Linked DNA regions of Drosophila melanogaster. The protein of the gene in region 3 purifies or fractionates together with the protein of the main gene of each other region. This does not show direct contact. Each region holds a gene or a part of one and is shown on either strand. Other genes may lie near its edges.

Evidence for each region.
Region 1: the proteins of p23 (region 3) and CARPB purify together in Drosophila melanogaster (affinity purification with mass spectrometry, with the first as the bait; one large-scale study listed by BioGRID). This does not show direct contact.
Region 2: the proteins of p23 (region 3) and bor purify together in Drosophila melanogaster (affinity purification with mass spectrometry, with the first as the bait; one large-scale study listed by BioGRID). This does not show direct contact.
Region 4: the proteins of p23 (region 3) and RpS10b purify together in Drosophila melanogaster (affinity purification with mass spectrometry, with the first as the bait; one large-scale study listed by BioGRID). This does not show direct contact.

The regions. Positions count from the first base shown.
Region 1 is NC_004354.4:9,779,806-9,788,242, reverse strand, and holds the start of CARPB (carbonic anhydrase-related protein B), read right to left. Parts: upstream 5,021-8,437; 5' UTR 4,844-5,020; intron 1-4,843. Other genes in the region: CG1354 (uncharacterized protein), read right to left, coding at 6,515-7,084, 7,351-7,732, 7,942-8,002.
Region 2 is NT_033777.3:16,257,418-16,265,658, forward strand, and holds bor (belphegor), read right to left. Parts: upstream 6,699-8,241; 5' UTR 6,653-6,698; exon of another isoform or gene 6,600-6,652; 5' UTR 6,536-6,599; coding exon 6,313-6,535; intron 6,205-6,312; coding exon 5,730-6,204; intron 5,670-5,729; coding exon 4,845-5,669; intron 4,773-4,844; coding exon 4,574-4,772; intron 4,510-4,573; coding exon 4,417-4,509; 3' UTR 3,938-4,416; downstream 1-3,937. Other genes in the region: tara (taranis), read left to right, coding at 1-2,087; asun (asunder), read left to right, coding at 6,936-8,241. UniProt on the Drosophila melanogaster protein: Required to maintain the proper number of mitochondria in neurons and muscles.
Region 3 is NT_033777.3:9,675,285-9,682,927, reverse strand, and holds p23 (p23), read right to left. Parts: upstream 5,002-7,643; 5' UTR 4,859-5,001; coding exon 4,842-4,858; intron 4,367-4,841; coding exon 4,280-4,366; intron 4,209-4,279; coding exon 3,952-4,208; intron 3,886-3,951; coding exon 3,692-3,885; 3' UTR 3,270-3,691; downstream 1-3,269. Other genes in the region: CG9444 (uncharacterized protein), read left to right, coding at 50-324, 387-592, 653-958, 1,017-1,406; nmdyn-D7, read right to left, coding at 1,512-2,211, 2,262-2,429, 2,488-2,654, 2,719-2,847; Nepl12 (Neprilysin-like 12), read right to left, coding at 5,209-6,204, 6,264-7,376. UniProt on the Drosophila melanogaster protein: Cytosolic prostaglandin synthase that catalyzes the oxidoreduction of prostaglandin endoperoxide H2 (PGH2) to prostaglandin E2 (PGE2).
Region 4 is NC_004354.4:19,594,913-19,602,198, reverse strand, and holds RpS10b (ribosomal protein S10b), read right to left. Parts: upstream 4,160-7,286; 5' UTR 4,122-4,159; exon of another isoform or gene 4,051-4,121; 5' UTR 3,994-4,050; intron 3,775-3,993; exon of another isoform or gene 3,767-3,774; 5' UTR 3,766-3,766; coding exon 3,283-3,765; 3' UTR 2,393-3,282; downstream 1-2,392. Other genes in the region: CG14220 (uncharacterized protein), read left to right, coding at 509-587, 687-795, 855-1,563, 1,638-1,724; CG14205 (uncharacterized protein), read right to left, coding at 6,809-7,027, 7,093-7,286.

The DNA.
Region 1 (8,437 bases), on a different chromosome or scaffold from region 3:
GGTAAGTAATATTTTCATATAAATATATGTGTTTATAAGTATATTGCAAATAAAGCCTTATTGCTTATTCGTTGTCTACACAATTCCATATCAGTATTTTCCGATCTCGCATTGCTGAACTCGATCCACACTCAGAAAAATGGGTACTTGTTTACTTATACATAAAAAAGATTCTGATTCAGTTTCTGATTCCCGTGGCATTCCCAGTTTTTGCAGTAATGCTCTCGTTTTCTTAACAAAAACAACAACCAATTGCACAGTGGGCTAATTACCAAGATTTCAACTCATAATATTTGATTTGAAAACTACAATATATGCTATATTCAGTTCCTTGCGAATTTTGCTGGGGGTTAATTTCAAGCAGCCCCTCTCTATAAGCATATCATTGTTATTCGTTCTTTTCGAAGAACCCTAATATGGGGACGAACATCAGACGGCGGCGGCAGCTTGCGCTTTATGATTTAATAACGTTGCATGGGTGTGCGACCCCCCCCCCTCCCCCACCAAACTCCTTTACCCAGCCCCCGCAGCCGCCCATGCACATTACCAACAACAACGTGGTCGTTTGTTGGGCGCTGAATTGGTTGCACTGCGAAAAATGAACAGCATGCATCAGTGAAAATGTATTATAAATTTGAATAGCAAAAAAACTTAAGTAACTGTGAAAAGTAAAAACTTTTAAAATGGATTTTAAAATAGAAACCATTTTTTTTTTTAGGGTTCATTTAGAATTGTAGTCTAATTTTTGCCAGTGCTATTTTTTGAGCTGGTTTTCTGGTCGGGGCGTTGTTTTCGTCTTGGGCCTCGTCGTCGGGCGCTCACATTATCTGGCTATGGTGCATGTCATCGCTGGGAAAAGTTGTCTCCGTTCGCCCTTCCGCATGCCCCCGCTTTTCCCGCCGCTTTTCCCGCCGCTTTTCCGCACAGTGTCATCTCCCGTTGTCCCTGTCGTCATCGTCGGGCCATATTAAATTGTGTTAAAACACTTGCGCCATGCATGTCACACGGCACCTTGCCCCCCGTCCTTGGGAAATTCGCCGCCCCTTTTTGGCCGCCCAACGCCTCCTGCTACCCTCTTTGTGTGCAATGGCGCGTGTTTTGCCATGTAACTCGTTTTGTCTCCCAGCTCCTTTGCTCCTTTTCTCAGCGTTTCTTTTTATATTTTTTTACAATTTTTCTTTTCTTTTTTTTTTTTTTTGAGTGAGGTAGCTTTTTTATGCCCGCTTCATTTCCGGCAAATTAAAACGCATACGGCGCCACACGAGTAACATTCTGGTAGATCGCTGAGAAGCGAGCAAAAAATTGTACAAAATATATAAAGTAAAATAAAATAAACACTAATTTGGCAGTCGTGACACTCGAAGTTCTTCTTTCATTTTTTTTTTTCGGTTTTTTTCAACATTTTTCGCAGTATAGCCTCTAGAGTCACATAATTTCTGGTTCAGTTTTGCCCACTTTCCAATTTATTTGTTTGCCAGGGGATTTGCAGTCAGCACTATTCACTCTGCACTCGGCTATATGTTGTTTATTTTTGCACTCTTTTATTTTTATGTTGTTGTAATATATACCCATTTTTCTGTTTGCACCTCGCCTCATAATTAAAAGCTGCACTACGAATTTTTCAATAACAGCGATAAATCAGGCATATGGAAGGCCCAGGGAGTTGGCCATAAATAAACTTTACAGCCACACACATTGGCCGACAAAGCGAAACGGCCCAAACGGTGGGCGTTGCAGGACAGAAGTTGGGGGCGTGGCCGAACGAACTTCACATCGATGGCCCAGTCAAGCATGAAAAGCCCCCACTTGGCTCCTTATTAGTAATGCCTCAGATCGTCCGACGACACTCACGGTAAATGCAATCGAAAGTCGAGGAAAGCGAATTAAACCAGATGAAAATTATGTTATTAAAGATGGAAATGAAAGGTTTAAAATATTCATTGAAATATTGAAGAACTTTTTCCTAACTAGACAGCAACTATTGGCATTGACATAGTAATTTTACACTTAAACAATAGGCACTTCAAATTATTGATTGATAGATTGATGCTGATTGTTATGACTGCAATCATTTAAATAAGCAACGTACGGCATCTCATACCACATGTATGCATATCATGCACCCTTAATAAGTTATCGAGTTACTTCGTTCTTGACCAAATTGCATTGTTTCCATTATTCCCATTTCCATCGGTACCTGTGCTGCTTTTACTTATGGGCTTCTAACCCACAAACATTACACATGATATGTATATAGACATAGACGGGTGCGGGTTGGAGTGGTTCATAAGTATAGATTGCGGTTGCCGTAGTGGACCCCTTTATTCTATAGGTTGCATATGTATAAGAGGAAATTAAAAATATATGCTGCATTTGGGCAGCTCTCTTTCGTTTGGTGGTGTGTGTGTGTGGGTGTGTGGGATAGGATGTGTTGCCTACTTTTTGGCATTCGCCAGGCTCTTTTTGTCTGCTCACTTGTTGGTTGGGTTTTGTTTGCTTGTTTGCTTTGTTTTCCACATGGGCCACATTATTATGATGTCTCTTCTCTTTTTCTCGCCTGAATGAAGTGCATCGCACATAAGGGAGTCGAGTGTGTGGGTGTGTGTGTGTGTCTGCAAGTCCTAGAGATGGCAAACTATTGCAACTCATTAGGGAATGGCTTATTGTTATAATGAACCCAAAGTGGCACCGAAATATTTATTTTTAAGCTACTTAAAAGCTCTTTAAATGTAAAGAATACCAGTAGAAAAAATGCATTAAAACAGGATTTACAATACATTTGACTCATTGGTTAACTATGAATTTGTTCCTTATTCCGCATAAAAGTATACAAAGTGTAGTTTTTTCTTCAACCAATTGATGATGTTAAATATCGGTTGACCCCATTGCCCATCGTGTCACGCTGCCATCGCCAAGGACACACACGTTTCGGAGGTCGACTGGCAGCGTCAGCTTCGCGATTTTTCATCAAAGTCACGGCGGGCAAAAGTTGGCGAGATGCTGCCCCATTGTTGCTTCTGACACTGACACCGGAAATGAACACATTTTCCGGTGCCATACGTGTGCGCCTGTCCGTGTGTGTGTGTGTGTGTGAGTCTGTTTGCACTCAAACACACACACACTAAAACAGCGAGAGAAGCACGCACACTGAGACAGACTGAGACCACCCACTGGGAGATTGAAAGTCGCTTAATGTATTGTTTTTCAGCGCTGACTCTCGCCTTTCAGCTTTTGCCTCTCGGATTTTAGCGTTCAGATTTCAGATTTCGGTTCCCAGAAGGCCAACGAAAATACTCGCAGACCACGGCATGATATCCCGCTTATTAGTGTCAAAGGCAAAGTCGTGAATCGGGAGCATCGGAAACCAACTTCCGCCCAGCGAATTTAATTACTCGAGAGAAGGTGTTGATGAAATTGCTCTGCTTGCAGTGACTTTGTCAAAACGAAGGCAACGGAAAATTCGAGTGCAACGTGAACTAAAAGAACTTTATACTCAACCCATTCGATCTTTCATTTAATATAACATGCCTGCAAATGTTTATGATCATTGAACTACCCTTTAAAATAGTTCGATTTTATGTGGCAAAAATGAGTTTAGAAAATCGTTGTTATAATATACTTTAATTTCGTCAAATGTTTTCTAATCTTGAGTTAAATCTTTTTGATATAGCTGCCATTGTTTCCCCACACTCTCGAACCCAGCAGCTTTCTCTACTTTCTCTAACCATTTTCCTGTGTCTGATGGCTTCTTAATTAGCTGTTAAAACGTTTCGGCAGCTGCCAAAACAATTACACGCTTTATTTCCATGAACGGCACGTTTTACCTTCGTTGCAACGCAAGTTAGACCTGACCCCTGACCCCACTCCTCCAACCCATTTGAGTTGACCCCATACCCATACCGTTACACATTCCCACACCCACTATGAACTCCTGTTGCTGCAGCTGGGAATCTAATCCCGGGGACTCAAATCGTTTTACGCTGTCGCCGCATGTGGGCATTAAGTTAAATGCCGGCGTAGACGACAGGAACAATGATGATGGGTCCTGCCCATGATAATGATGATAATAACGGGGGGATGCGGATACGTGATTATGACGATAAGGTTCCGGATTCCGGAGGAGCCCATCGAGTGAGTGAGTGCGGCGCAATCTGCTGATTTATATTATTGTCACGTTTATGGCCAGATTGGGATTGAAATTGAGACGATGGGTGGGCTTAAAAGTGGGTGGCACAGCCAACGGTGCAATGCACTTTTTACAAGCAATTAAAGGTAGTTGGAATAGATAGATATATACATATATATATATATATATGTACGTATCAGATCTTCGAATGTCTAGAGACAGCTGTAAATGAATAATGAACGCCAATTCAGCGAAAAATATATTCAATTCAATTTCGATGCGTCACTCCGGATTCGTCGCTCATTAATTTATGACAGTCATTTTTAACGCTTTGCTGCCCACGATGCCCTCTGCAAGTGACAGTTGATGCTGACGGCGTGCCACGCCCACCCCCTACGCTCTAACGCCCAACCATTTTGCATGCGTCAAATATTCAAGCGCCATTTTTCAATTGAATTGAATGAATTTCTGAATTGAGTGCATGAATGACGATGCCGCTGCGACTAGTTGGCTTTGTTATCGTTAGCCTGGCAGGATCGGGCGACTTATCTATTACATGGATGTTGCAACATGGCTACTTGCTATCTCCTTTCAACATTAAGTGAATCCTTGGAGCAGACAAATTAGAAATATATTGCTGCATACTTTTAGACACCAGAAAGATCCACTGATACCAACCGATTTCAATACGTATAGGGTATTTCTTTATTCGCTCACCTGAAACTCGTACCCATTATTCCGAATTGTTCTATTCCGAATGATTTGTGTTTGGCCCCTTTGTTGACGAACGTCGAGGACAGAGCGGCTCTACGGCGAACGGGCCATTTGGCCGGACTCTAAAGTGGCCATATTTCACGCTCCTCTGATGGGCCTTGTCAACGTGGGCACCACGATGGCTCCAGCTCCAGCTCCTGCTGAATGTGTAGCCATTCTTGGGGCAGGACATTACACTTTAATTAACTACAAGGCCGGGGCAATTGGATTTCTCCATTTCCACCGCAACTCCAACTGCCACGCCCACTCTTTGGCTAGTTTGGGAGCTAATAAAACATTCAAAATATTTTTGTCGGCTCGTTTCTTGGACCGGAGGAGTGTGTAATTTTGCACATTTCATATGAAAAGTTGTCGAGCTCACGCAAAAAACTTTTGCAGCCAACACACAAGGATGCAATGCAGTTGCGCACAGTGGCACTGTGGGTTAAACAATATCAAAAAACAAAAAATAGTTTATAAAATTTATTTAAAAAATAGCTAAAAAATAACTGCACTTATATGTATAATTTTTAATGAGTTGGTAGTAAAAAAAAGTCTTGAACTATGAATCAGGTCCTTTATAAGATAATATTTGAATATTTTGAGGCATTCTTCTTGCACTCAAAACCATAATCCCAAAATGTATAGAACATTTTTGAAACTTTTCCTTACTTTCATTGCAGACTTTTGAATTATGCTCCACATTTCGAGCTCGTCACACGGTGCACAAGAAAAGTTTCTTTTGGCAAAGATTAACAGAACCCAGAAGCAACCGAAAAAGGGTTTGAGATTGGGATTTAGGGGGAATGTGCGTGTTTCTGGCGGCGCATGTTTGGCAATGCGGTAAACCAAATTATGTGCTTAGCAAGTTGCCGCTGCGACCAGAGTCAGTGGAACCAGCCAACCAGCCAACCAACCAGGCAACCAGCCAGCTACCTCAACCACCCGATCCTTTGTGTACTGGATGCAGCTGCATTTGCACAGAGCAACCAGCGCACAGCACAGCCCCTGCTCCCTCCTTTTGAGTCTTTGTGGCACAGCTCCTTGCACTTGGCCGCTTTTCCTGTTGGCTCTGGTGGCAAAGAGGTTTGCACAGGTGTTTCCAACAGCAACTTTGCCAGCATGATTAAAAAGTTTTGCCACGGCTCAGCAATAGAAATCCGAGACTTCGGTTACCACAATGTCAATGCCTGACAAGGGATATGTCATTTCTTATTGTTTGTTGCTAGCTAGGAGCAAAGGGATAGCAACACAATACTAGTACTTGCCAAATCTACAACCTGATTTTATTACTTGCATGTTTAAAAATCTCAATCCCATGACAAATGATCATATAGCCACAAAGATACATAGGTAAATTCTTATAGAATATTCAAGTATCACTGCGGATTCAAATGGTGCTCCAGTTAACCCGCCTGTTACCATAACAAACAACGACTGAGATTGTGTGTCATAAGCGTGTTTACATAGCGTACAAAAAAAAAGGAAATTCAAAATGCATTTTCAGGCCTCGAACATGAGAGTGAGGGATGTGATAATGAGGAGCTAGCCTCTGGCGAAGCGAAACATCTGGGAGTACAAGATCAAGTTAATGTACAAAACGGTGGACATGGCGATGATCATGGCCAAACGGTATCATTTCTTCTTGGCATCCTTGAGGCCAGCGCCGGCGTTGAACTTAAAGAATATGATGTCGCCATCCTCGACGGTGTAGTTGCGTCCCTGTTGGCGATATTTGCCAGCGGCCTTGGCATTCGCCTCACTGCCCTCCGCCTTGAAGTCCTCGAAGTGCATCACCTCGGCCATAATGAAGCCCTTCTCGAAGTCGGTGTGAATGCGTCCGGCAGCCTGGGGAGCCTTGGTGCCCTTCTGGATGGTCCAGGCCTTCACTTCATCCGGCCCGGCGGTGAAGAAGTACTCCAGCTGCAGTCCCTTGTAGCCGGTCACAACGATCTTCTCCAGCATACTTTTGCACTTGGTCTCCGTCTCGTAGGCCTTGCGCTCCAGTTCGTCCTTTTCGGTCAGCTGGTGCTCGAAGGCGCCGGAGAAGGGAATGAGCAGTGCTCCGGGATCGTTCTTGTCGATCCATTCCTTGATCTTCGGCAGCCACTTGTTCTTCTTGCGGATGAAGTCCTTGTCCGAAAGGTTCACCAGGTAGATGACCGGTTTGGAGGTCAGGAACAGATACTTGTTCAAGGCCTCAATCTGAAAGAGCAAAGTAGTGGTGGCGTCAATAAGAACGGGAGGGAAAATCACAAGGTCACACGAAAAAAAACCACAGATTTCGCTGTTTTGTTGGCAAACAAATAAAGACGATAATAACAACAATGAATGAAACACGAATACAAATGCATTCTTAATAAACAAATTTACAATACAATATTTTATGGATATCCCCTTGTTTTTAAGTAGAAAGGAATAACAATAAGCGTTAGTGCCACCCAGCGGATGTGGATTGTTTTCGTACTTACATCATGGGCATTCCAGTCCTCGAAGCGCAGATGACGCTTCTGATCGATAAGGATATCCTTAATCTTAAGCATCGAATCGTATTCGGGCTTGAGCTTCTTGTCGCCGCCGCGGGCCACCACCTTCTCCAGTTTGTCCAAGTTCTTGAGCAGATTCTCCTCGTCCTTGAGGCGCAGCTCCTCGGAGATGATCTCCAGATCGCGCACCGGATCCACCTCGCCCTCCACGTGGGTCACATCCGGATCCTCGAAGGCGCGGCACAAGTGGAAAATGGCATCGCAGGCGCTGATGTGCGAGAGGAAGTCGTTGCCAAGTCCCTGACCCTCGGCGGCTCCCTTCACCAAGCCAGCAATGTCCACGACGTTCAAATAGGCAGGAACCACACTAGTTTTTTTTTTTTAAATACTTATTACTTTCGATTGTGCAGAACTTTTCTATTAAACTTAACAAGCAAATGGCAAGCAAATAACGAAAATAGCAAGTCCCGAAACTTGTTACGCGTTTTAAATGCGTTTCGTGATGCAGGTATATGTTTTTTTTTGTTACAAGCAATGGAAAACTAAAATGCAATGGATTTGTATGCTCCAACTCACCTGGCCGGCTTGTGGTACTCCACCAGGTAATCGAAACGCTCATCGGGCACCGGAACACGACGTGTGGGTAAGGCAAAAGCCATCGGCGGCAGCATCAGCAGGAGCAGATGAAAAGAAGAGGTAAGACGCATGTTAGTCGGGATGACTTGGCTGGACGCAGAAATGCAGAAATCCAAAAATACAAGAATATGAAAAAACAAAAACGATTGACTGACTGACTGGCTTGGTAGCCCGGCAGCATCGGCGGCCAATCATGGCAATTTTCTATAATTTTGCGCCATCCGCAAAGGGGCAGCGAAACCAAAATGAAGTCGCTCACAAATAAAAAGCGCAGGAAAATGAAACCGAAACGAACCGAAGGCGGGGGCAATTTGCATATTGGGAACTGGATCTGATAAAATTGCTAAGGCCGCGACACGCCCACAACGCGAAGGACAGTGAAGCATGGTTAGCTCAACTTTTAAAGGTGCCTTAAATGAATACAAATATGGTTTCT
Region 2 (8,241 bases), 6.6 Mb from region 3:
GCATCATACCCACCTACTGTCCCATGCGCTATCATCCCTTTGTACCGCATCCGCACCCTCATTCGCACCAGCTGCCGTCCCATCCCCACCAGCAGCAGCCGCAGCAGCTCTCCCAACAACAACCACATCCCCAGCAGCAGCAACTCGCCCAGCAGCAGCAACAACATCCGCAGCAGCAGCGAAGCTATGCCCCCGGATATGGGAGCAGGCAACCCAACTACTATTCGGAGCCTTTCCCGCAGCAGAATTGCTCGCGGACAGGAGGACCGCAGCACATGACGCAATCACCGCCAACACCGCAGCAGGCGCGTGGTTTCGCTCCACCCCAGTGGGCGACAGCGGGTAGCAGTCCGGCCAATCCCTCATCGGGAGCCCAACAGTTCTACGAGCCGACCAACGGTGGAGCTTATGCCCCGCCAGCGGCGCCCCAGCAGACAATTCGTTGTGCAGAGAACGGCAAATCCTATCTGGACCTGGGCTGCAGCAGTGGCGCATCCGGAAATGCTGGAGGATCGCCCATCAGTCCGCCGCCCTCATCAGCGCCTGTTGTTCCATTCGCCGGCTTGCCTCTCCATGGCCTGCCTCTTAAAAGGTGCTGCGATGGACGACCCGGTGGCTGGTGCAGTGCCAACAGGAGTTGCTACAAGGACACGCGCCTGAAGATACGCAATCTGTCCATGTTCAAACTCTCCCGTTTCCGGCAGGTTTCTGAGCAGTCGCTGTACCGCTCGGTGCTCATTTGCAATACGCTGAAGCGCATTGATCGGGAGATCGAAGCAGAGGCCAAGGAGCTGCACCAGGCGGCGCAACAGCACCACCAACAGGCGGCAGCAGCAGCAGCCGCAGCAGCAGCAGCGGCGGCACAAGCGGCTCAGTACCACCCAGCCTACCAGCAGCAGCAGCAGCAGCAGCAATCCCCGCCAGCACCTCTGCATCCACATACGCAGCAGCAGATGGACTATGCGCCCGTGTTGAACTGTGCTCGTTTGGCCAACATGGATCACTACCAGCAACTCAGTTTCCAGCCCCAACACCAGCAGCAACAGCAGCCTTCGCAGCCGCATAGCTACCACGAGCGTCTGGACAGCCAACCCGCCTACAGGGGCGCGGCAGCGGGTGCGGGCAGCTTCGCCACGCAGCCGAGCAACTGTGATACATCAGCGGGTGCAAGTAGCAGCAATACCAGCGGCAACAGCAACAACTCCTCAGCGACGGCGGCGAGCAGCAACAGTAGTTTGCACCCCTACGATCACTATCCCTTTCGGGAGTCGCAATCTGGTCGAGCAACGCCCTTTCCGGCCTGCCCCACCACAACAGCAGCAGCGGCAGCAGCTTCGGCAGCAGCCGCAGCTTCCAGTGGAGGAGCAGCAACAACACTAAGTAGCAACATCAGCAGCTCCCCCGCATCAAGCAGCACTAGCAGCAACACCACTTCCTCAACGGTGATCAGCAGCAGTAGTGGGAATACCGTGAGCAGCAACGGCACCACGCCAGTTGCACCTACCGCAAGCAGCAGCAACTGCGATACTAGCGATTCGGGTTATGCGGACGACGACTCCACGCGATCCATCAACTGGAGTTCGGTGCTGAGCCTCAGTTCGCAATCGGCGTTGGATCCGCTCAACAACAACGATTTGTTTAGCATACTTCCGTCGGCGGCCACACCTACAGCGGTGCCAGTTTCAGTGCCAGCCAGTAGTTCCAGTTCCTCCTCGGGGTCCACGCTGGCATTCAGTGGAAGCTTCACCACCGTACAAGCCAGCGGCGGCAGTAGCAGTTCCTGCGGAAGCAGCTCCACCACCGCCACATTCACCACCCTGTCGACCATCTCCTCGGCCACCCACTCGCTGACCTCGTCGTATGTAAGCAGCATTAGCTCCAATGTGTCGGCGGGCGCCAATACCTGGGAGTACGGATTCCTGGACATGGAATTCGGACTCGGTTCGGAGTTCACGGAGCTGGTACCCAGCTGTAAGCTCAGCTCCGAGGATCTGTTCAAGAGCGGATTGGGCGGTCAGGTTGTGACCGCCTCCCGCCTGCACGACAACGAACTGGAGCACCCGGCCCACATCATGGTCGGTAGTTAGTATCAGTTGTAGACGATGACGGCGACGGATCCCCAGCGGATGGCGGCGTGCTGGTCGCGTCGCCTGCTGGCGCCCACTAGCAATTCCAAGCAGTATTGAATCGACGAAATGGGGGAGGGGCTGAGGGGATGTTAAATGCTAATTGTGCTCAGGTTGTGAACGTGCATGAGAATATAAATATATACATATATTCGAAAGTCTTGGTCCTAAATACCCCTCTCCCCCTTCCTTCACACAAGCAATCGGGGACACAAATTAATTGCAATCTTTAATGAAATTCTTAAGAGAGATCGAAGAAATGGCAGAACAATGAATATGACAAATGAGCAAGCAAAACTATTAGCAAATTTTTCTAAGTGTAAATATTATTAGTTTTAAGGCAAAACAGCGAACTCCTAGCCAAGTAAGTTTGAAACGGAAGCAAAACAAAATTCTATATTAGCGTAACTTTAGCATTGTTAGTTGCAATTGTTGCAGTTTTTCGATTCAACACCACACAAGAACAACAACAGCATCAAATCGAACAACAAAAGGCCGTTGGAAATTTTTCAAAACCCAAATCAATTAACAAAATTTACGTTTACGTTACGTTTACGTTGGCCTAAAGACGATGCAGCATTTGGCTTGCAAGGAGAAATTGATGAAAAATCGAAAAACGTTTACTATATTACTAGCCATAAGTATTATTATTTATATACAAAACCGCAGAAAACAAACAAACAAAAGAACAACTTAAAACAAAGTTTTATAAAAGAAAAAACAACCGAAAAAAAACACAAAAATAACAAAAAAATTAAAAACGCAAGCAAATATAAAGAATTTGTTAAAAAAAAAATACAATGTATTTCAATGTTTTTGGGTTGGGACACTTTCTTTGCAGCTGAACATATCCTGAAAAGGAATTATTCGCGCATATCTATGATTGAAATTTGAGCTCTCTCTCCCTTCGCGCCAAGCAAAAATTTTGATTTCGCGCGCCATTCTAGACAAAGTGTTGCCGTTGCGTGAAAGTAATTTTAGTGCTGCCGTTACTTGTAAAATATTTCTCTAGGTTCGGGTCTCTGCTACACAAAGCAGTTTACACTGCTTGTCTAGTGGATGCACCCGATAAGCTAGCTTGGTGTTCTTAAAATCTTTTTTGTTATCGATTAAAATTTAAAGAGTCTTTTGTATTTCTACTCCACTCTACTCTACATATTGTTGCGATGCAGGAAATTATGAATTTCATACATATGTAGATGTATATGTATATGTATGTATGAGTAAAGAATTTGTAAAAGTGTTTTTGGTGAAACAAGGAAGCTGTTGTTCTAAAATTAGCAATATTTTTTTGGCAGTAAAGGAATTCATTTTATTGAATTATTTGATATTAAATTATTATTATTTGATGTTAAATTAGATACCGTGGGTTCCGCTTAATAGTTTTTTTGCACTTAGACTTTGCGACACCTATTGAGGAGAATTTGCAGTAAGTACACTTACATTTGCAAACATAAAGTTGACATGGCAGAAGTGTTGTTCGCTTTGGCCCTTAGGTGTCGCTTCATTAGGCACTGACAAATATAGTTGGCAACTCGTCCTTACTACACCTACTATCCGCTAGGTGGTGCAAAACACGTAACGTAACGTAGTGCGATTATTTCACATAATAAATTAAATAATTGTAGCAACTGACTCCAAAATAGTCATGAGATGGTTTATTTAAATTTGGTTTAACCTCAAATTAATAAATTTAAAAAAAAATAAATAAAACCCATGATGTGTTTTTGAGCATTGAACGATTTTCTTATAACCAATTTCCTAAACATTATTCGTCCTTTTATTAAAGGCGAAATAAAAATGCAATTTTTAACAGGTAATTTATATATATTTACTTCATACTCACATATAGGAAACACTGCGGACAAGTGAAATTGGTGGAAGAGCCAGCGAGAAGTTTAATATAAATCTCTCACAGTGCTGGCGCGACCGAATTCAATTTACAGTCTACGTCCAAAGCTTTAACATACGAAATGCAACGACAGCAGTTAAAATATATACTTCTTATTGTATATTCTATTGAGACAGTGGATGTAGGCTTATAATACAATTATCTGTGGGTCAAACTTAATTGTATCTATAGACGAACACATCTTCCCGCCAACGATTATGTACAGGCTGTTAAATGCATACACGTAACCGATATGCACTATTTTGGTGTCTCGGCTGCTGGTTGGTGGTCGTTAGTAAGATAAAGCCCTGTGCGTACCAACTTAAAGTTAAGTGATTAGAAAACTAAACAAGTTTTGAATGCAGGTTGCATCTACTTCAGCATCGGTTCCTCCGCGCTTTACAGTTTCTTTGCAGTTAGGGTGAGGGGTGGGGCAGCTGTGCCTGTGATGGATTTGTGATCAGCACGCTCCTGATCCGAAAGCCAGGCCATCTGCAAAGGATACATGATTGAAGGTTACCAAAGCACATAAGTTAATACACATTTTCAAACCCACCTTCTGCTTATGCTGCTGAGCAGCGGAGTAGCACCTGTCCAGGACCATCTTCTCGGTGAGCAGACCATCCTCGGAGGCATAGACTGCCGCCTGCCAGGACACGCCCAGCTTGGAGATTTCTCGACCCGACATACCCTCGCACAGAGCGGCCATCTTCGAACACGTCTTTCCGTAATCAAAGGTGTCCAGTTTGAACCGCCTAGAAGATTATAAATGGTTGTGAACAATTATCAAAAAATGTTCCAACTGCAAGAGCTCTTGCAATACTCACTTGGCACCCGCAGCGGCAGGCTGCAGCACATATTTGTCGAAGTACAAGCGCAAGAGGCGTTCCCGTTCCTCCAGGCCAGGCAGCGTGAACTCCACCATTTCATCCAGACGATCGTTGATGGCATAATCAAACTGCTCGGGAGTGTTGGAGGCCAACACAAGCATGAACTTGGGATTCTGCTCGGAAGTGCGGTACAGGAAGGCGTTGAGGGCGGCACGCAGATCCTCCGAGATCTTCTCAGAAGAACGTTTGCGTAAGAATGCATCCGCCTCGTCCACAAAGAGCAGAAGTCCGCGGCGTGAGGTGTGCGACCAGTCGAACACCTTGTGGATGGCGGTTACGCCCTCCTTGCCCATGGGCGCCACATCGCCACCGGTCATGATGGCAAAGTCCATGCCAGAGTGTTCGGCCAGCTTCTTGGCGAACATGGTCTTGCCCGTTCCTGGCGGCCCGTGCATCAAAACATTCCTGTACATGCCCTTGTTGATACGTGTGTTCTTTGTGGCGATGGCAATGTCACGAAGCCGTTCCTCCAGCTTCGGATTTAGCACAACGCCCTGCAGCGCATCGGTCGGCTTGGCGCGCAGCCTCTTCAGGTAGTGCAGCGGGTTCTTAAGGGCGTCCAGAAAAGCAAAGCGCGACGTCTCGCCAACTAACGTAGGTTTACCAATGCGCGCCTCCACATATCGAGAGACCACTCCAGTGGCGCCCTTGGCCGTGTACACACCCAGGGCCAACAACGAAAGTCCTCCGGCGGCGGTCAGCACCTTGTCCCAGTCGGTAAGCATAGCCTCAGCACCGGCACCGATAACAGTACCAGCGGTTCTGTGAATAAGTAACACAAAATCAGTTATTTCATCCTGCCTAGTTTGGGGTATCACTCACTTGATGCCCTCCAGTACGGTTGTTCGATGCTCCTGCGCCTTGAGACGGATCTTCTCCAAATTAATATCCCGGTTCTCGCGATCCACTCGTGCCTTGGCGCGCAGTTCGTGTTCTAGAAGCTTAAGCCGGTTCTTCTCCTTCATCTCGATCTCGTGCTCGATGGTCTGGCGCCGCATGGCCTCTTGACGCTGGACGCTCTCCTCCTGCTTGCGCAGGTTTTCCTCCTGTACGCGCTGCTGCTGCAACAGCTGATCCTCATACCGCTTGCGGGACAGCTGATCCTGGTATTGGGCACGCTGCTGCTGCTGCTTGGTCTCCTCGATGAGAGTTTTGCGGCGCTCCTCGTGGTCGATGCGCTTCTGCTCGACCTTGGCCTGCTCGATATGGGCTTCGTACTCCTTGACCTTGGTGTTGTACTCCGTTTGGCGGGTGGCCTCCTGCATCTTGGACAGCTCGAGGGCCTCCCGGGCGTGTTCTGCACAAGATTAACATGGGTTATGGACATGGACTCTGACGCATACGCACGTTGTGATAGCGTGGCGCATGCCGGTTATGCAATTGGCTGATGAAATTTTGTTCTTACTTGAGCGCTCCAGGGTTTTGGCAGCATCCGCTGCACGTTCCAGCGCCGACGAATCGAAGCGGTACGCTTCCATGGCCTTGCGCTCCGCCCGGCTCAGTTGCGAATCCCCGGACTTCTCGCCGGCCGTCCTGCCCTCCGGATCGGCAGCTCCTCCTCCTTCCGAAAAGCCGGCGGTCTGATCCGGCTGAGGCTGTTGGCGGTTCCTGCCCAAAAGCCACGACATTTTCCTAATATGTTGGCTTGCGCTTCTCGCGCTTTTCACTCAGTGTATGGGAAAAAAAAACAATCTAGAAAATATTATGAAATTTAGACAGCTTTCGCTTAACAACGTGATTCTTACTACTGAGCAGCGCTGCCAGATTCGGTAAATTGGAGACGGACAAATTGAAATGAAGTTATAAATACATCGATATATTTTTTTTAAATGTGTGCTTTTTTGTTGAATTTGAGAAAAGAGCTTTTTAACACAGTTTAGTAAATTTAAAAAAATAAAAAAAAATTAGCTGTGGTGAATTTGGAATTCGAAAACAGCTGTTCGTGGTGAACAAAGATTGTAAACAATTAGGATTCAACGTTTGCGTTTGTTTGATTTCCCGGCAATTTAAGTTGTCCACGAGTCCACCATGTTCGAACGCAACCAGAAGACCATCTTTGTGCTGGACCACACCCGATACTTTAGCATCGCCAGCGAGGAGTACATCTCGATGGACTTCCTAAAGGGAAAACCATCTGCAGACGGCGGCGCAACAGGAGCGGCGGGAAATGCAACCGGCAGCGGTGGATCCCAATTCAGCAAGAGCCTGTGGACATGCGCCTGCGAATCCTCCATCGAGTACTGCCGCGTGGTCTGGGATCTCTTTCCCGGCAAAAAGCATGTGCGGTTTATTGTCTCGGACACGGCGGCGCATATCGTGAACACCTGGAGGCCCAGCACGCAAAATATGGCGCACGTGATGAACGCAATGCTAATTGTGGGCGTGCCGTCGCGCAACGTACCCACATCTTCTGACTACTCGGTAATCCATGGCCTGCGGGCCGCCATCGAAGCGCTGGCGGAGCCCACCGATGAGCAGTTGGCGGCAATGGCCGACTTTGGGACCGACGAACTGCCGCGCATTCCCAACAAGGGTCGCGTCATCTGCATAACTTCAGCGCGTGACAATACCAGCATGAAAAGCCTGGAGGACATCTTTAACACCGTGCTGGTGCAGCAGAACACCCTAGCAGCTCCGCCCTCCAAGAAGGGACTGGTCATCGACCATTGCCACCTAGTTATCCTCAACATTGTGCCGCTGGGCGTTGAATCGTTGGTTACCAATCGCAGCCTGCTCAAGATATCGCCGCTGCTTGATGTCGAGATCCACACAGTCAGTGCCCCGGATATTTCCTATAAGCTGACGCACCTCATACTGAACCATTACGACCTAGCTAGTACCACGGTGACTAACATACCCATGAAAGAGGAGCAGAACGCCAACTCCAGCGCCAACTACGATGTGGAAATCCTGCACAGCCGAAGGGCCCACTCCATCACCTGTGGCCCAGATTTCAGTCTACCCACGAGCATCAAGCAAGGTGCCACATACGAAACAGTGACTCTTAAGTGGTGCACACCGCGCGGTTGCGGCTCTGCAGATCTACAGCCCTGTCTGGGTCAGTTCCTCGTGACACCGGTGGACGTCACCTCGCGGCCCAGTTCTTGCTTGATTAACTTTCTGCTTAACGGACGTTCAGTCTTGCTGGAAATGCCGCGCAAGACCGGCTCAAAGGCCACCAGCCATATGCTTTCTGCACGCGGTGGCGAGATCTTTGTGCACTCCCTGTGCATCACGCGCTCCTGCATGGATGAGGCTCCATCAATTACTGATGGCCCCGGAGGACGTGTCTCGGACTATCGCACCGCCGAACTTGGTCAACTGATCAAGATGT
Region 3 (7,643 bases):
GCAACGGATTAGGATGAAGGATTTAGCTTATTCCACTTGCGACTCGTAGCTTGCTGGTGTCCATCGCTCTGCTGTTTATCGCCGTTGGCAATGGATCGATACGAGCCTGCATCACCTCGCTGGGCGCACTGCAGTTCAAGCTGCCGGAGCAGAGCGTCCATCTGGCCGAGTACTTCTCCTTCTACTATTTCGTCTACTATTTTGGAATATTCCTGAGCAAGATCCTTCCGCCGCTGGTTAGAGCTAACACGCAGTGCTTTGACAAGGCGGAATGCTATCCAGCCGTATTCGGCACCCTTGGCGCAGCCTTTATGATGGCCTGGTGTAAGTAACTATCAGTTTTCATAGCTTATTTCTATTTAATTTACGCATGCTTGTGGTATTAGTTATCTTTCTGGTTGGAAAATGGTTCTACAAGTCCGAAAAGCTGTCCGATGACAACATACTCTTCAAGTTCTGCGGCTGCATAAAGACCGCTCTCGTGGAGAAGTGGCGACGTCGCAAGTCGACAAAGCGCTCCAACTACTGGCTACACAATGCAGTTGTAGCCTACGACATGGGTTTCGTCAATGATGTGTCCAGAGTTTTGAGGGTCAGTTATACTTGTGTTATAATGAAGATTCTTTCAACTTCATAATTTCGTTTCTTTTAGATATCCAAGCTGTTTATCCCACTGCCCTTCTACTTTGCTCTGCTGGCGCAACAGGATTCCAGCTGGACATTCCAGGCCACCCAGATGAATACCACATTAATGGGCGTGACCATCCAGCCGGATCAGGCCAAGGCCGTGGGACCCATCTTTCTGTTCATGCTCATCCCTCTATGGCAGTATATAACAGTGCCCTTGCTGCGCCGCTACTTCAACTGGGAGCTCCAGCCGCTCCATAGTGTGACTGTGGGTGGGATCTTCTCCGCCGGCGCCTTTTTCTGTGCAGGAGCCTTGCAGGAACGAATAAAGGTAAGCAGGAATAATAAGATACCTCACCTGATCGTTTATTAACCCGAAATATTCGAAGAATTCCCCGCCCCAAACAGTGAATATAGCTTGGCAACTGCCCCAGTTCCTGCTGCTCATGATGGGCGAATTACTGCTTTCCATTCCGGGTCTCCAGTTCGCCTTCACCCAAGCACCGACCTCTATGAAGTCGGTGGTCACGGCAGCCTGGTTTCTAAATAATGCTTTCGGCAATCTGATCGTGGTTCTGGTCACCGAGCTGGGTATGCTTAGCTCACAGATGGCCGAGTACTTCTTCTATGCGGTGGTAATGCTAGTTTGCATCATCCTCTATGCCCTTTTGGCCTTCGATTACACTCTGCAGGAGCGCAAGGCCGGAATGTATGTGAGGATGGACAGTGAAGCGGAGGACCGGGATGTGCCCAGCACCAGCCGCAGCGGGAGCATATAGGAGAAGTTTCTACGGTCTAGTATTTTCATTGCACTTGTAATTTATTGATAAACGCACACAGGCAAACATGCATTTAACTGAAAACAAATAAAAACTAAACTAAGATCAGTCGATTATCTTGAACATATACTGCAGCTCCAGGTTGGAGTCATCTGGCAGATCAGTGCAGTGGACGGCGTTCTGCACCTTGGACTTGCCGAACTTGGCGCGCAGCGTGTGAGGCCGCAACAGTTTGGCGATCTCCGGATCCATGGGTCCACAGAAGTTGCGGAACTCGCGATCAGTTTTCTTTTCGGGATCGGCGCAAGCAATCTCCATGCACATGCATACTCCACTGGCCAACTGAGCAACCATGGGTATATACTCGGGCACCACTCCGCGGTAGACTTCGTAGAACTCCTCGCAGTTGATTCGGGCCATTAGAATCATGCGCATGGCTGTCAACCGAAAGCCATTCGACAGGATTTCGGAAATGATGTCTCCCAGGAGACCATCCTTGATGCTGTGCGGCTTAATGATGGCAAGTGTTGTATTCTTGAATACACATTCTTTAATTATGCTGTGCCTCGCCTCAGATATGAACTTTAGGTCCATTTCCACGTCGTTGTCGTTATCAGAGTAGTAAAATCCATAACGAATCTCCTCACTTTCAAACAGCTCTTCCAAACTGGGCGACAGTTTCACACTGGGTGTTTCCGCCTCTGTGCTCTTGTACTGGGCGCAGGCCTTGATGGTCTCCACTACGTTGTCGCCGATTAGCTCCAGACTAATGGCCGGACCAGCCAGCAGCTCGTTCATAAGGACTCTGGAATTTAGAGGATAAGATGTGTTCCTTGGCATGCCATCTTTACTCACGAAGAGGAGACATCCGTCGTGTCCTTGCCGGACAGAAACTGAGTTACCATTTTGGGAGAGAACTGAACCATCATGCCCTGGTTTATGTTAATCTTGTTGTCGATCAGAGTCTTTAGGAACTTGCCCAGGTGCTTCGTCCACATATTGTTCTTGAGCAAAACGAATCCCCTGAAAGAGATGGGAATTACAGATTAGCGAGTGGATAGCTGTCGATGAAGGAACATACTTCTTGCGATATTTGGCTAGGTTTGTCCGCGTAGTGTCGTCAGCATAATCCACAATGTCAAACTGCCGGCCAAAGACATTGATCTTGGAGCCCACAAAGAAGTCGCGCTGGGTCAGCTCCGGGATCTTGGTGCGTCGCAGAAATGTGCGCTTGTTGCGCTGGTCGAACTGAGGGAAAACATGGCCTTGGTTAAATGTGTTTCTTTGAAGAACTTGTGCTACCAATCCTCACCACTTCCACGGCCTTGTCGGATACATAGTAGGTGATCAGAAAGGTGCGTATGATTCCAGCCTCTGCATGGAACCACTCGGCCACGAAGGCCAGACGCCGCTCGCTAGCCGGAATCGCAGCGGGTTTCATGGTATCGTTTTGAGGGGAATCTTATACCTTGCTTTTCCGTTCTATCGCTTGACAGCAAGTCCTTTATTTCGAGTGATAACTGTTTGTTTGCTTTGCATTTCAATTGTGCTTCTTCTTTCCCGCGTTGTCACAGCAACAGTGTTGCCAACATAACAAAATTCATTTAAGTGGGCGCAAAATTTAAAGAAAAAAATACCTATGTTAATTTTAAACCCAAATTCTAGGGGATTACCCATAAACAATTTTTAACCATTACCTATAATTTCTTTTTAAAATCGCTATCTATTCAAAGATAAAGCCTTCTTTGCGACATCTTTAAGAAGCTGGACTGCGCATTCCGAATTTAACAGTTTAGAGATTTCTAGAACATTTATAGAATGTTGTAAACTTATAAAATATTGAAAATAAAAAGCCGAATATAAGTTTTTCATTTTTTTTATTGTTAATTTCCTTTATTTACAGGAAACAAAAATAATAAACTGCAAACTGATTTTTGCAATAAATTGGTTGTAGCTTTCCTCTGGTTGTTAAATTCTAGCGTAAAACTTATGGTTTCCCTTGTCGGCGCCAAATCATCTTGTTCCTTGTGTTGCTTTTTGTTAACATCTCTCCTCTGAATACGCATAATATTCAGGTATATTAAATGTGGTTTTCTTCGATTGGAATAGTGTTTCATGTACGCATGCGTTTGTGGATGTTTTATGAGTGATTGAGTGTTTCTTCTTTTTCTTTTCTGGTGTGTATGTGAGGAGTGAGTGTTGTGATCGTGTGCTGACTTATGGTATAAGAGCCACGCCTAACGCTACGACTACGCCAAATTGCGAGACACCATCTGAGCGACCGTCTAGGCAGCTGGCTTCTTCTCCTTATCACCCTCGCCGCCCTCCTCGTCATCCTCGTCGTTCTGGGACAGACTTGGGATGTTGTCATCCGAGTCCTCCTCCTCGTCATCGACGTTGAAATCGTCGAACTTGTTGTTCCAATCGCCACCAGGGCTGTTAAGGAAATTTCCAAACATGCTGTTGTCTTTTTGGTCACCTGCAAAGTGCGTTTGTATGAGTGGGTTTGCTGGATGAGATCTTGGGGATGAGGATGTCAACTTACCCTCCTCGTCGTCGGACTCATCGCGCCACTTGGCAAAGTTGGCTTTTAGGAAATGCAACTTGGTCTTGTCCGTGGTCAGCGAGGACCAGTAGGGACCGGCCGCCTTCTTGGGTATTGTGAATTCCAGGCAGCGGCCAATGTTCTTGCTGGTCACCTTCTCGGGATCCACCTCGTGGAGGAAGTTCAGTGTGACCTCGTACTTCTTCGACGGATCCAGCACGTTTACGCCCTTGAAGGTGAAGGTTTTTTCCGTAACTCTGTTTTGGGATAAATATATGGAATTAGGATGTGCAAGGAGCATGGACATACTACATATGGGGGCATATACTTGTGTTCGATGTCCTTGCATTCGACATCGATGATGACGTAGATCAAGTCATTGCGCTGGGCCCAGGAAACTGGAGGCGGAATCAAGCTGCAATGGAGGATCAAGTTGGATAAACATAAATAAGAGCTTCATGTCGTTGTGCGAGATCCGTTGCCATGGCAACTCGCGTCGGACTTTCTGGAAGCGGGTGCACGAACTATGTAAATAGCTTCCCAGCTAGCTAGATTTGCATAAACCATAAGCCCAGGCAAAAGTCCATGCCGAAAATGCACGGCATTACCGCCAGCCGAAAACATAACCTCAAACACTGGACCCTCCGATTAGTTCCACAAATATCGCAATGCAGATGCGCACAGGACACGCCCACCGTGGACACAAACGCTTGGCCAGGCGGATGAGCGCGAGAATAAGGGTCATCCGAACGAAAATTATGTGTTTTTCACGGCCGGGAGTTCGAAAATGGACGCCGCCGCAACGACAAAGCACGCGACGCACAAAGAAGCCACAAAAAGATGGTCCGGCTATCGCCGATTGGCACTGAGATGGCCGGTTGTGGACTCACCCTGCTGCTGCCGACATTATGTTGTTGCTGTGAATTGTTGGTTTATGTTTTACGAAGTCGGAACACTTCTGACTGACAGCCTGACTTGGTTACAAAAAAAGGCAGTTTCTGTTGAACAAAATTGTCATGCACAAAATTGACATGAGAAACAGAGTTACCGAGCGCGCTGCGGAGATGTGACTAAATTTGAACGGTGCTCTGGGGTGCGAAACTTCGATAGTTGTACTCAAACCACAAATGTTAGCTTGTTACGTGTAACGTAAATTTGAAGTGTTGTGTCAAAACATTTTACATTGTCGGTAAAAAGTATTGAAATCAACTTTTATTTGGTTCAAGGAATTTATGATGATGATTATAAATCTATGATCTACCAAAGTCGGCACGTTTTGGCGCCAGGACGCATGCCGCTGCCCACGGAGCAGTTGTAGGCGTGGAAGAAGTCCTCGCTGTTGGACAAAACTCCCAGGACACGAAATTGGTCGAAGGTGTGCACATCGCTAAGACCTTTCCAGTAGTGCTCCTCCTCGTAATGGGAGCAAAATAGCTGGGCAAATCCCAGGAAGAACAACTGTTCCGGCGTGAGATCGAGACCCGGCATGGCGTCGCTTATCCTCTCCTGCCCAGGATGCTCCAGCAGTTGCTGCCTGTGACTGCGATAGGCCGTCAATGCTTGTCTTAATCCGCTATTGTCTGCGATATTCTCGTCCAGTGTAGTTTTTCCGTTGACACGCCTGCTGATCTCCGGTACCTGGTACTTGCCATAGTAGTCCATGTAGCACTCGGCGCGATCCTCTAATGCCTGTTGCGAAATTTCCGACAACAAGGACTCCATGTGACCATTGCCATCGAAATAGGAGCTGGTCGTATCGAAGCCGTGGATGAGTTCATGACCAACGATAAAACCCAATGTGCCGAATTTCAGGGAAATCGGCAGGTGGCGTTGGTATATCGGTGGTTCCACCACGCCAGCCATCACATTAATGGAGTTGTCCGGAGTGTAGTAGCCCGCTCCAACCTGCAATCCTGTCAGGATCTTCTGTGGCTTGGTGTCATTGGTCAGCTCCTGAAAATGCCGACTGCTAAATCGATTGATTTGTACAACTAGGTGCTGCAAATTAATGTTGGTCTCCGCATAGCGATCCTCGATGACTTTCAGACTGTTGATTTCCCGGATTATTCGATCCGAAAGTGCATCATCTTGGAACGAACCAATGCGTGGCTGTATTCTGGACTCCTTAAGCAGTGCCCTCGCCCTGCTCTCCGCATCCAGCCAATCGGCATCCTCCAGCGCCTTTCGCAGACTCTTTCGCAGTTCCCGCACCATTTCCGACATCTCCAGCCTCTTCGCCTCACTGAAGTTGTTCTGTAACACAAGAGTGTTGAGATTATTTGGTATTCTCATCATACGCATTCGTTACCCACAGCCATGTAGAGTTTGTTGAACAGAAACCGCATGGATTGATAAAGCGTAACCGAACAGTAGTTCCTTTGGTACCTGGGCGCCTTCAGTTTGGGATCGAATCTATAGAGCAGCTTCATGGCCAGGTAGTTGGCCACAGCCTTGCGATGTCGGGCGCATACTTTGTCCAGTTCAACGTAGTAAAAGTCGCAGAATAATTTGTTAGTGGAGTGGAGTCCACTCCACGAGATGTTATAGTAGTACTCCGATTGGGGAAACACTCGCTTAATTCGGTAGGGATCAAACACTTCGCACTGGGGCGGGATCTCGAGTGCGTCCCGCCAGAAGGCAAAGACCCCAGCGATGGCCTCCCTAATCCTGTCCTCCGGCAAGCCGAACGCCCTCAGATATCCGTGCATTCGCTCTTCGTTCAGGCGAAAGGCGCGTGTGGTATTTCTGGAAATGTTTTCCTCATGTACGATGATGTGATCGAAGCCCAGTTCGGGCAGTTTGGTGTAGGGCTCAAAGGGATACCTTAACTGGAGAGTTTCGCGGATCAGACCGTTGGCGCCATAGTTGGCCAGATGAGCACTCATGTTGATCCAGTTAAAGTTTGAGGCTTTCCAGGCGTCTCCATCCACAGCGGGAAATCCTCCAATCGATCGAATTAGACTCAAGTAAGCGGGATCCGCCGCATTGAAAGGATGGAGATTTGCTCCCAGACAAGCGTTGTAGAATCGCTGGGCCACCGCCAGTTCGCTGGATACGTTTAGAGCCTCCGCCAGATCCATTCTGCCCAGCAGTTGCTCCGTGATGTCGATCAGTGTGTAAGTCACGTCGCCCAGGTTGCTTCTACTGCCCGGTGAGTACCGATCCGGCTTTACGTTCCGATAATTTCCACAGGCATACTCGTAGAAATTCTCGCAGGGCTCTACACTTTGGTTCATATAGGATTTCATGAATTCCGCGTATTCCTGCAGTTGGTACTCTGCCGCGGATCTATTGGTCGAGCTACCATTGCTATCGGAATTTTCGGACCTGTCCACAAGGCTCCTGGCCTCGCAATCCGTCAGAACCGCAGCCACAATGACCCACAGCAGCATCAGGGAGATCAGCTTCAGTGATTCATGAAACATATGCGTATTTTATGGGAACACTTCTCAATTGGAACTTATAAAACACACTGATTTAAATCGCGAACGAAAACTGGCAGAATCCCAATAAAATCAAGAGAGCAATAATACAGAGATATAAAAAACCCTTATCAGTAGAATGTGCAACGGATTGTTGATAAGGAAGCGAGTAAGTTTTTGTTTACAATCTGTATACAAATAAGAGATATTTATTGATATTTAGTATTTACATTTTGCAAATTTAATTCCTGTTATCTGCAACGAAAGTGA
Region 4 (7,286 bases), on a different chromosome or scaffold from region 3:
TTACCACAATTTTCCTACATATGCATATACAGAACATTTTGGTTTGGTTGTCTGTTTAATTGATAAATTTACAGCTAAGCAATTTATAAATACAAAAGGAAATTTAATAGAATTTGAAGAATTTTTAGGTAATAAAATAATTTATGTTCATATTACTGAAATGGAATTTATATATATATATATAATTTTTTGGTTTAGCACAGAAATGGCTGTAACAATGGCCATTTCAAAATCAAAAGTTTGAACTACGCGCGCATATAATCACGATATCCGATGAGTAATGTTATCGGTAGATAGACAACCCTGCCGCCAAAAGTCCATAGAGCTGGACAACGATCGATAGCCCTCGTGCTCGATATATCGATACTGCCGTGGTTGCTTCACTGTATGCGTGTGTATATCTGGCATCGCAGCGAAAAAAATAAATAATAATAAACAATTGCCACCAAATTGTTGATTTTGGGTATCAAGTTTCAAAGCCGCGAGTTCTGAACCCACCAACACGACCATGTCCAACTACTACAGTCTACTACTACAAGCGGACACCTACGACGACGAGTCGATAGGCGACGAGCGTAGCGAAGAAGGTGAGTACCAGTACGCAGACGACGTTCCTGGAGGAGGCTTCACTCACGTCCCGCGTCCAACGCTCTCCTCTTCCCCCTACCACTTCCACTCCCTTCCAGACACGGACGACGCCAGCGAGACGGAGTTCCGCAGCCCCAGCCGCTACGGCGCCATGAATGGGACCTCCAACAGCAACAACATGGGCACCAACAGCGAACTGAAGGAGCAGTAAGTAGTGGCTCATTCTTAACTCCTATCTTCGATCCATAATCATTTCACTGCCGTAGAATGTACCAGCACAAGCTGTTCAACCTGCAGAAGCAGATGGAGGAACTGGGCCAGCTGGTGCATCCGGAGTACTTGAAGCGCGTGAAGAAGCTGGACAGCCAGCTAAAGGAGCGCCGACGCATGAACGAGGTCTACAAGGAGTACATGCGCGAGTGCGTCGAACGGGACTATGTGCTGGAGAAGATGGCCGCCCAGAAGGAGTACGACGAAAAGATGATGGACCTCAAAGACAACCTGATCTCGGACTTCGAGGACCGCAAGCGTCAGATCGAGAACGAGCGCTTCAGCATCGAGCTGACCAACGATTCCATGGAGATCAAGACGACGATCACGCGCAAGCTGCGTCGTCGCCCCAACGAACCGCTTCCGGTGATCGAGAAGCGCCGCAAGCCGGCCACCGGCCAGCTGCTCGTCTACCAGCTGGATGATAAGGAAATCGAGTCGGACCTAAAGATCATCCAGCGTGGCAGACCGAATCCAGTTCCCCAGCAGAACGGCAGCGGCTCCTACGGCAGTGGCTCCCAGCAGCAGCAATCGATGCACGTTCTGGCCGAGCCGACCTCCAATAGCGGCCTGGTGGAGACTCGCATCGAGGACAACAAGCTGCTGTACGAGCGGCGATGGTTCTGCCGCGGCCAGCAGGTCTATGTCGAGGGCAAGGAGATGAGCAAGTTCGCGGCCACCATTACGGCCATTGGCAACGAGGTGGTGAGTTCAACTTTCCCCGATTGGGGGGTCACAAGTCCAGCGGAACAGTTTCTAACCATGATTCGCTCTTGCAGGTTTGGGTGAAGCGCACCAACGAGACCAAGGTTAAGATCAACATGTCCCATCTGGCCAAGGGCAAGATCTCGATAAAGCGCCGATAGCTCCGCCGTCGGGCCGGGCGTCTCCACATCACGCCCGCCCCGTTTCCTCGGTCAAGAGACGTACTTTCATAAAATTATTGATACAGACGTAGCACTAGATTAGGTGTACATTTTTCTAAACGAGTATTGCACATTGTAAATAATGAAACCACAATTATTTTGTATACAAAGCGATTTTTTTTTTATTGTTGCAAGCGAATACACTTTCCAGCGCAGTGCGCCCCAGTTGCGATGCGCAGAACGTTTTTGCGGGAAACATAGGTCCATAACCAGCTTCTTTTAACCATGTTAAGGCAATGATAGTCTCCAGGTATCTTCGGATTTATGCTAAATGGAGGAATGTACATAACCTTAACTACCCAAACCATGTTTCTACTCCGATGTGCCATGGCATAAACCTAGAATAATGCCATTCGTCGTATATTGTTGTAGTTCTTTTGGTCGGCCTAAATAAATAATCTAAGCGATTCGAATTCTTTATGGTCCGAGCATAGCAGCATACTTACTTGTTTACATAAAATATTAGTTGAAAGTAATCAACGTTAAATGGAGAAGCACATAAGCTTTTAAATAATATTAGTAGACACATAAGATTTAACTAAAACCTAACTTTGGGAAATGTGAAACTAGTGTATTTATAAAATTAGAATTAATATATAAGTAAAAGGCAGCTACAGAACAACAAAAGGATGCTCGTGAGCAAAAGAAGACTATTTAAGTAAACTAGTTATTTAACTAATTGTGAACGTTTAAGTAGCGTGAACAAATAAAACGAAATTGAGCATTTAAGTTACGTTCCTCCACATACGAAGATTTTGGCTTATCGTTTAGAAAATATACCATTTCCTTTGATGGTAAATCAAATTTAATCTATGTCCTTGCAATTCATGCCGTTTTTGTTATGAGCAATTGGATTCTAATGTTATTTAAATATTTGAATGTAGTATTTCGAGCCAACTGGTTTATTCCAACCCAAGTCTACTATGTTTTGGCACACAGCTATAAACGAATGCGATGAATTTCTGCACATATTTTTATAATAAAGAGCTACAAATCGACAAATATCCAAATCTATATACAACAATCTTTTGAAATTACCAAAATTGAATGCATGTATTGTATTCAAAAAAACGTATTTACGCTAGAATTCCTTCTTTCCTCTCGACAGAACCTCGCAAAATAAACTGAATTATCTGCAAAATCCTACTTCTAAAGTTATCTGAAGAGCTTCTTGCAAAAATGTGTTGGGTTAGCAGTTTCAGTTTGGCCGGGCATCGGGTTTACTATACTATTTAGCCACGCTTGGGATCTGAATCCACGTCCGATTTGCACACCACAATCACTGGACCAAACAACAAAAACAAAACAAAAAAAAAAAATAGAGGGGAGCACGGAATTTCACTTGCGTTTGCTTTATAATTGATCGTCATATCATAAAACACACACACATTTTTCAGATGTTGGTTTCTTCTATTGTTAAGGGTATGGATCTTCAGTTGAACATTTTACTGAGTAATTTTTTATACATTAGAAAAAAAAACTGAAGCGCCTGGGTTGTTTAGTTGCGCGATCCGCGTCCGAATCCGCCACGGAACTCGACCTCTCCGGCACCGGGTCCAACATCGCCCTTCTTGTCCACTCCGCTGCCGCCGGGAGCACGTCGGTAGGCGGAGCGATCCTCTCCGGTCTTGGAGGCGTCACCGGGTCCGCGTGGGCCGCCAACGGCGGGACGGGGACGGACGGTCTCCGAGCGGGCAGGGCGCTTCAGCGTCGAGGGCACGATCTCGGGCGGCAGGTGGAGGTAGCTGCGCAGCTCCTCGATTCCCTCGTTGGTGAGGTACCAGTAGTAGTGGCGCCAGGCGAACTGCTCCTTAACCAGTCCGCGCGAGTGGAGCGACTGCATCGCCTTGATCACGTGCAAGTTGGGGATCGACTCCAGTTCCGGGTGCTTCTGGGCATGGAAATCCTTCTTGGCCACGATCACGCCCTCCTTGAAGAGGTACTCGTAGATCGCGACACGATGGGCCTTTGGCATAAACATTCTGCACAAACAACAAAAAAAAAAAATAGCAATTAGATTCGGTTCATTGCCAGGATATATCTACAGATCATCCATGTGGTATCCAATTCACACATTGTTTATTGAGTCTGAAAGACTCGCTTCTTTGTCCACACAAAAAAAAAATGTACACATGCATTCGGGAACAACATTGGGCGCATATTTTCCCGGTGCGGCCGCTTGAAAATGGGGGTTTTCGGCGACAATTACCTGGATTGATTTGCAAACACAAAGTTACACGAACGCGAACGTATCGTAATACTCCCGCTGCAAGTAAAAAAGAGAATTGGAGGTATTTAATAGGGAGTTTTGCTTAAAAATTCGCGGAGCACACGCACTCACCGGAAACGTGAAGACGAAAAGAAAGGGAAACGGAAGGGATGACAAGAAGAAGACGGTGAGCAGTGTGGCCGGACCTTTCGATATGTGTCAGCAATCGATGACGCCGGCAATATATCGATATTATCTTAAGACATAATCCACGAGTAAATTTCGCGATTAAATCAAGTAACTACACTTGCGACACATTTTGACTTAGAATTTTTTGAATTACTTAAAACTGACCACCTTATATTCGTTCTCATAGCTTGTCTTGTATACTTGGGCATTCGATAGCGACAATGGTGCCGGACTTTTTAGTATCGATATCCTTATCGATAAGCCTTAGGCCAAGTATTAAGTTAATACACACACCGCATTTTGCACATGCATCTTATCGATACGTCTTTGTTGTCATAAAATCGCACTTATTTATTGCCAATAAGTATTAGTGATGGCACAGTTAAGCGTTTTTGTTTCGGTAATTCAAGTGTTTCATTTGTAATTATAAAAAAAATCACTCATTTTGTTTTATGAAAAAACAATTAAAATGGATCTTATTATATAAGCTTATTTATTTATTATTTATTTATTATTATTATTTAGTTATTTATTATTTCATTTATAAAACATTAATTTGAACTCAAAACAAAAAAAGTTTTACGACGAACCAGGTAAAACTTTCAATTTTGAGAGTCTCTCAGCAAAGGCCCTCCGCCCTCCCTTCTAGTCAACGAATGAGTAGCCATCTGTTCTCTGAGAATCTGTAGGTTTAACACTAAAGCTGTAAAACAATACAGCTCCCGGGATAGACAAACTTTAGGAATTAGCATTATTATGCAGCAGGATAATGGGCGCCACCGCCCAGACCCCAAGTTTCGACTGGGGCAGCCACAGGTTAGTGGATATCGGGGCGAAAAGTAATCTGTTAGTAGACGCGAAGGTTCTAACTTTTTCCCATCGAAAATTCCGAAGAGGATAAGAAGCAGCACACAGAAAATGTATTAATTAAAATAGAACCGTACAGTTAGGTTAAGCGCACAGTTGGGTTAAGTTAGGTTACACAGTGAGAAGTTCCTGATGAAGTGAACATATACAAATTTGAAATATATATGTACATAGTATATAAAATAATGCTGGATGAACCCTTCCTGACCTAAACCTACATCGGAAAAATTCAAAATCTCCGAACCGCCATTCTGCACTGAGAAAAATTAGGTTATATTTTTAAATCATATATTAGAAGGCTTTACCATAAGTTACCATAAGTTTATGGGATAATTTAAATAAATAATTTGGTTCTCCTCTAAAATATATTTAGCAACCTGTGTCGCATCCATTTAATGACAATTTTCTTGAATACCTTTTATAAAATTTTTCTTGAATTTACGGCAAAAACTAACACCTACTGCCTTATATTTCCTCATCTTACTTTAGTTTGCATTCATTTATTTACTTATTTAATTTATTACTTACCTATTATTACTTATAAATATTGCTATTAATTATTAGTTACCACCATGAATGCAATAAAAAAATGAATTTCTAAAAACTTAAATACTGAACTCGGCTGATGTTTCATCGGACATAGGGTACCAAAGGGGCCGCTAGAGCCATGCCTTTAATGAAAGTGGTCATAGATAGCATAGGGCAATCCGCGAACATAATTAAACCTGTGTTGCGCAGGCAACCAATTCTTAAGCTATTCCTCCTGTTCTAGAACTTCCTCCTCCTTTCGAAAATATTAATTTTCTTCCTCCGATTTTGTATACTAGCTCCTCTATTCCGTTGTTGAAAGCACGCTCAATTCTTGATTTTAATTATTAATGCCTGTAGGGAAAAGGTATTTGTACAAGCAAGACCGCCACACCATGAGCTAGAGCCGGACTTTAAAGCGTGCACCCGCAAGTACAGGTTTCTCCCTTGCCCTTGTCCATAAACTTATTTCGTTACACGTTACAATTTATGCATGAATTGATACCCGTTTTGGAACCAGTGCCTGAATAGTTCATACTTTCATAGTTTTCAGTCACTTTGGCTTCTATTTCATCAAGTTCTGCGATTGTTTTTTATAGGGAACTCAGCATTCGAAACTTATCCGAAATGCGTTTCACTTCGCCACCAGTAATGTGCATCTAACTATAAAAAAGCTACGTAGATTCATTATGTTCGTTGTATAAGTTGTATAAGATAAAAGATATTACCCGTTCACTTTAAATTCGAAATTCGAAGCGTAAATTATTACAAGCCAAAGTATGCACTATTAAACTTAAGAAAAATTTTTTTATATCGATTATATAATATATATATATTATATATATATCGATTATATGACGTCAGTATGTTCAGTAAGTCATTAAAATCTGCTCTTGAAAGATGTTTCTTTGTAAATTACATTTCATTAAAATCACATTTTGATTAGAGGGCAAATCAAAGAATTTTTCAAAGAAAATAATTTTTTAATGTTAATATCCCATAGTGTGTCATATGGGAAAATTAAGAAAGCTAATCTACTTATAAAAATATTAAAAAAAAGTTCTATACAAATTGAATTGTCGATAATATTGTATTTCTTTGGTATATTCATATTTATGATCTACCTTTGTAGTTTTAAAGAATATATGTATGTCTTAAATGAACTAACATTAGTAAAAAAAGGTCCTTAACCTATAATTGATATCTTTGCTCATAAATAGTTTCGAGATCCTTATGCCGGAAGAGGCGTTTTATTTTCCAGTGTTGGCGCAGATGCACTGCATCCCCCCACTGGGGCCTCCTTCGACTCCTCCACAGCTGGGCGTGGTGGACAGGGCCTCTTGTCGGGAAGCAGGAGGCCTTCCAAATTTCCAAACGGCGCCTCGATCAGAATGTACACAGCGAAGGCGAGGAGCACGGTAAAGCCAAAATCGCACCAGAAACGAAGCATCTGCAAGGATTCCCATTCCCAATTAGTGTTTCGAACTACCAACGCATATGTGGCTTTGAACTTACAACTTGGTAATCACTGAAGTAGGTGTTGGTGCGCGTAATGCCGGCGTTGAGGCTCTCCATGAACATGTGGAAGATGTAGGCGGAGTAGGATAGCTTGGACAGCGGCTGCCAAAGGGGAGAGGAAAGGAAGCTGTTGGCCAGTCCTCCGTAGCCGTGCATGCAGGCGAAAACCACCCAGCAGAGACCGAGAGGCC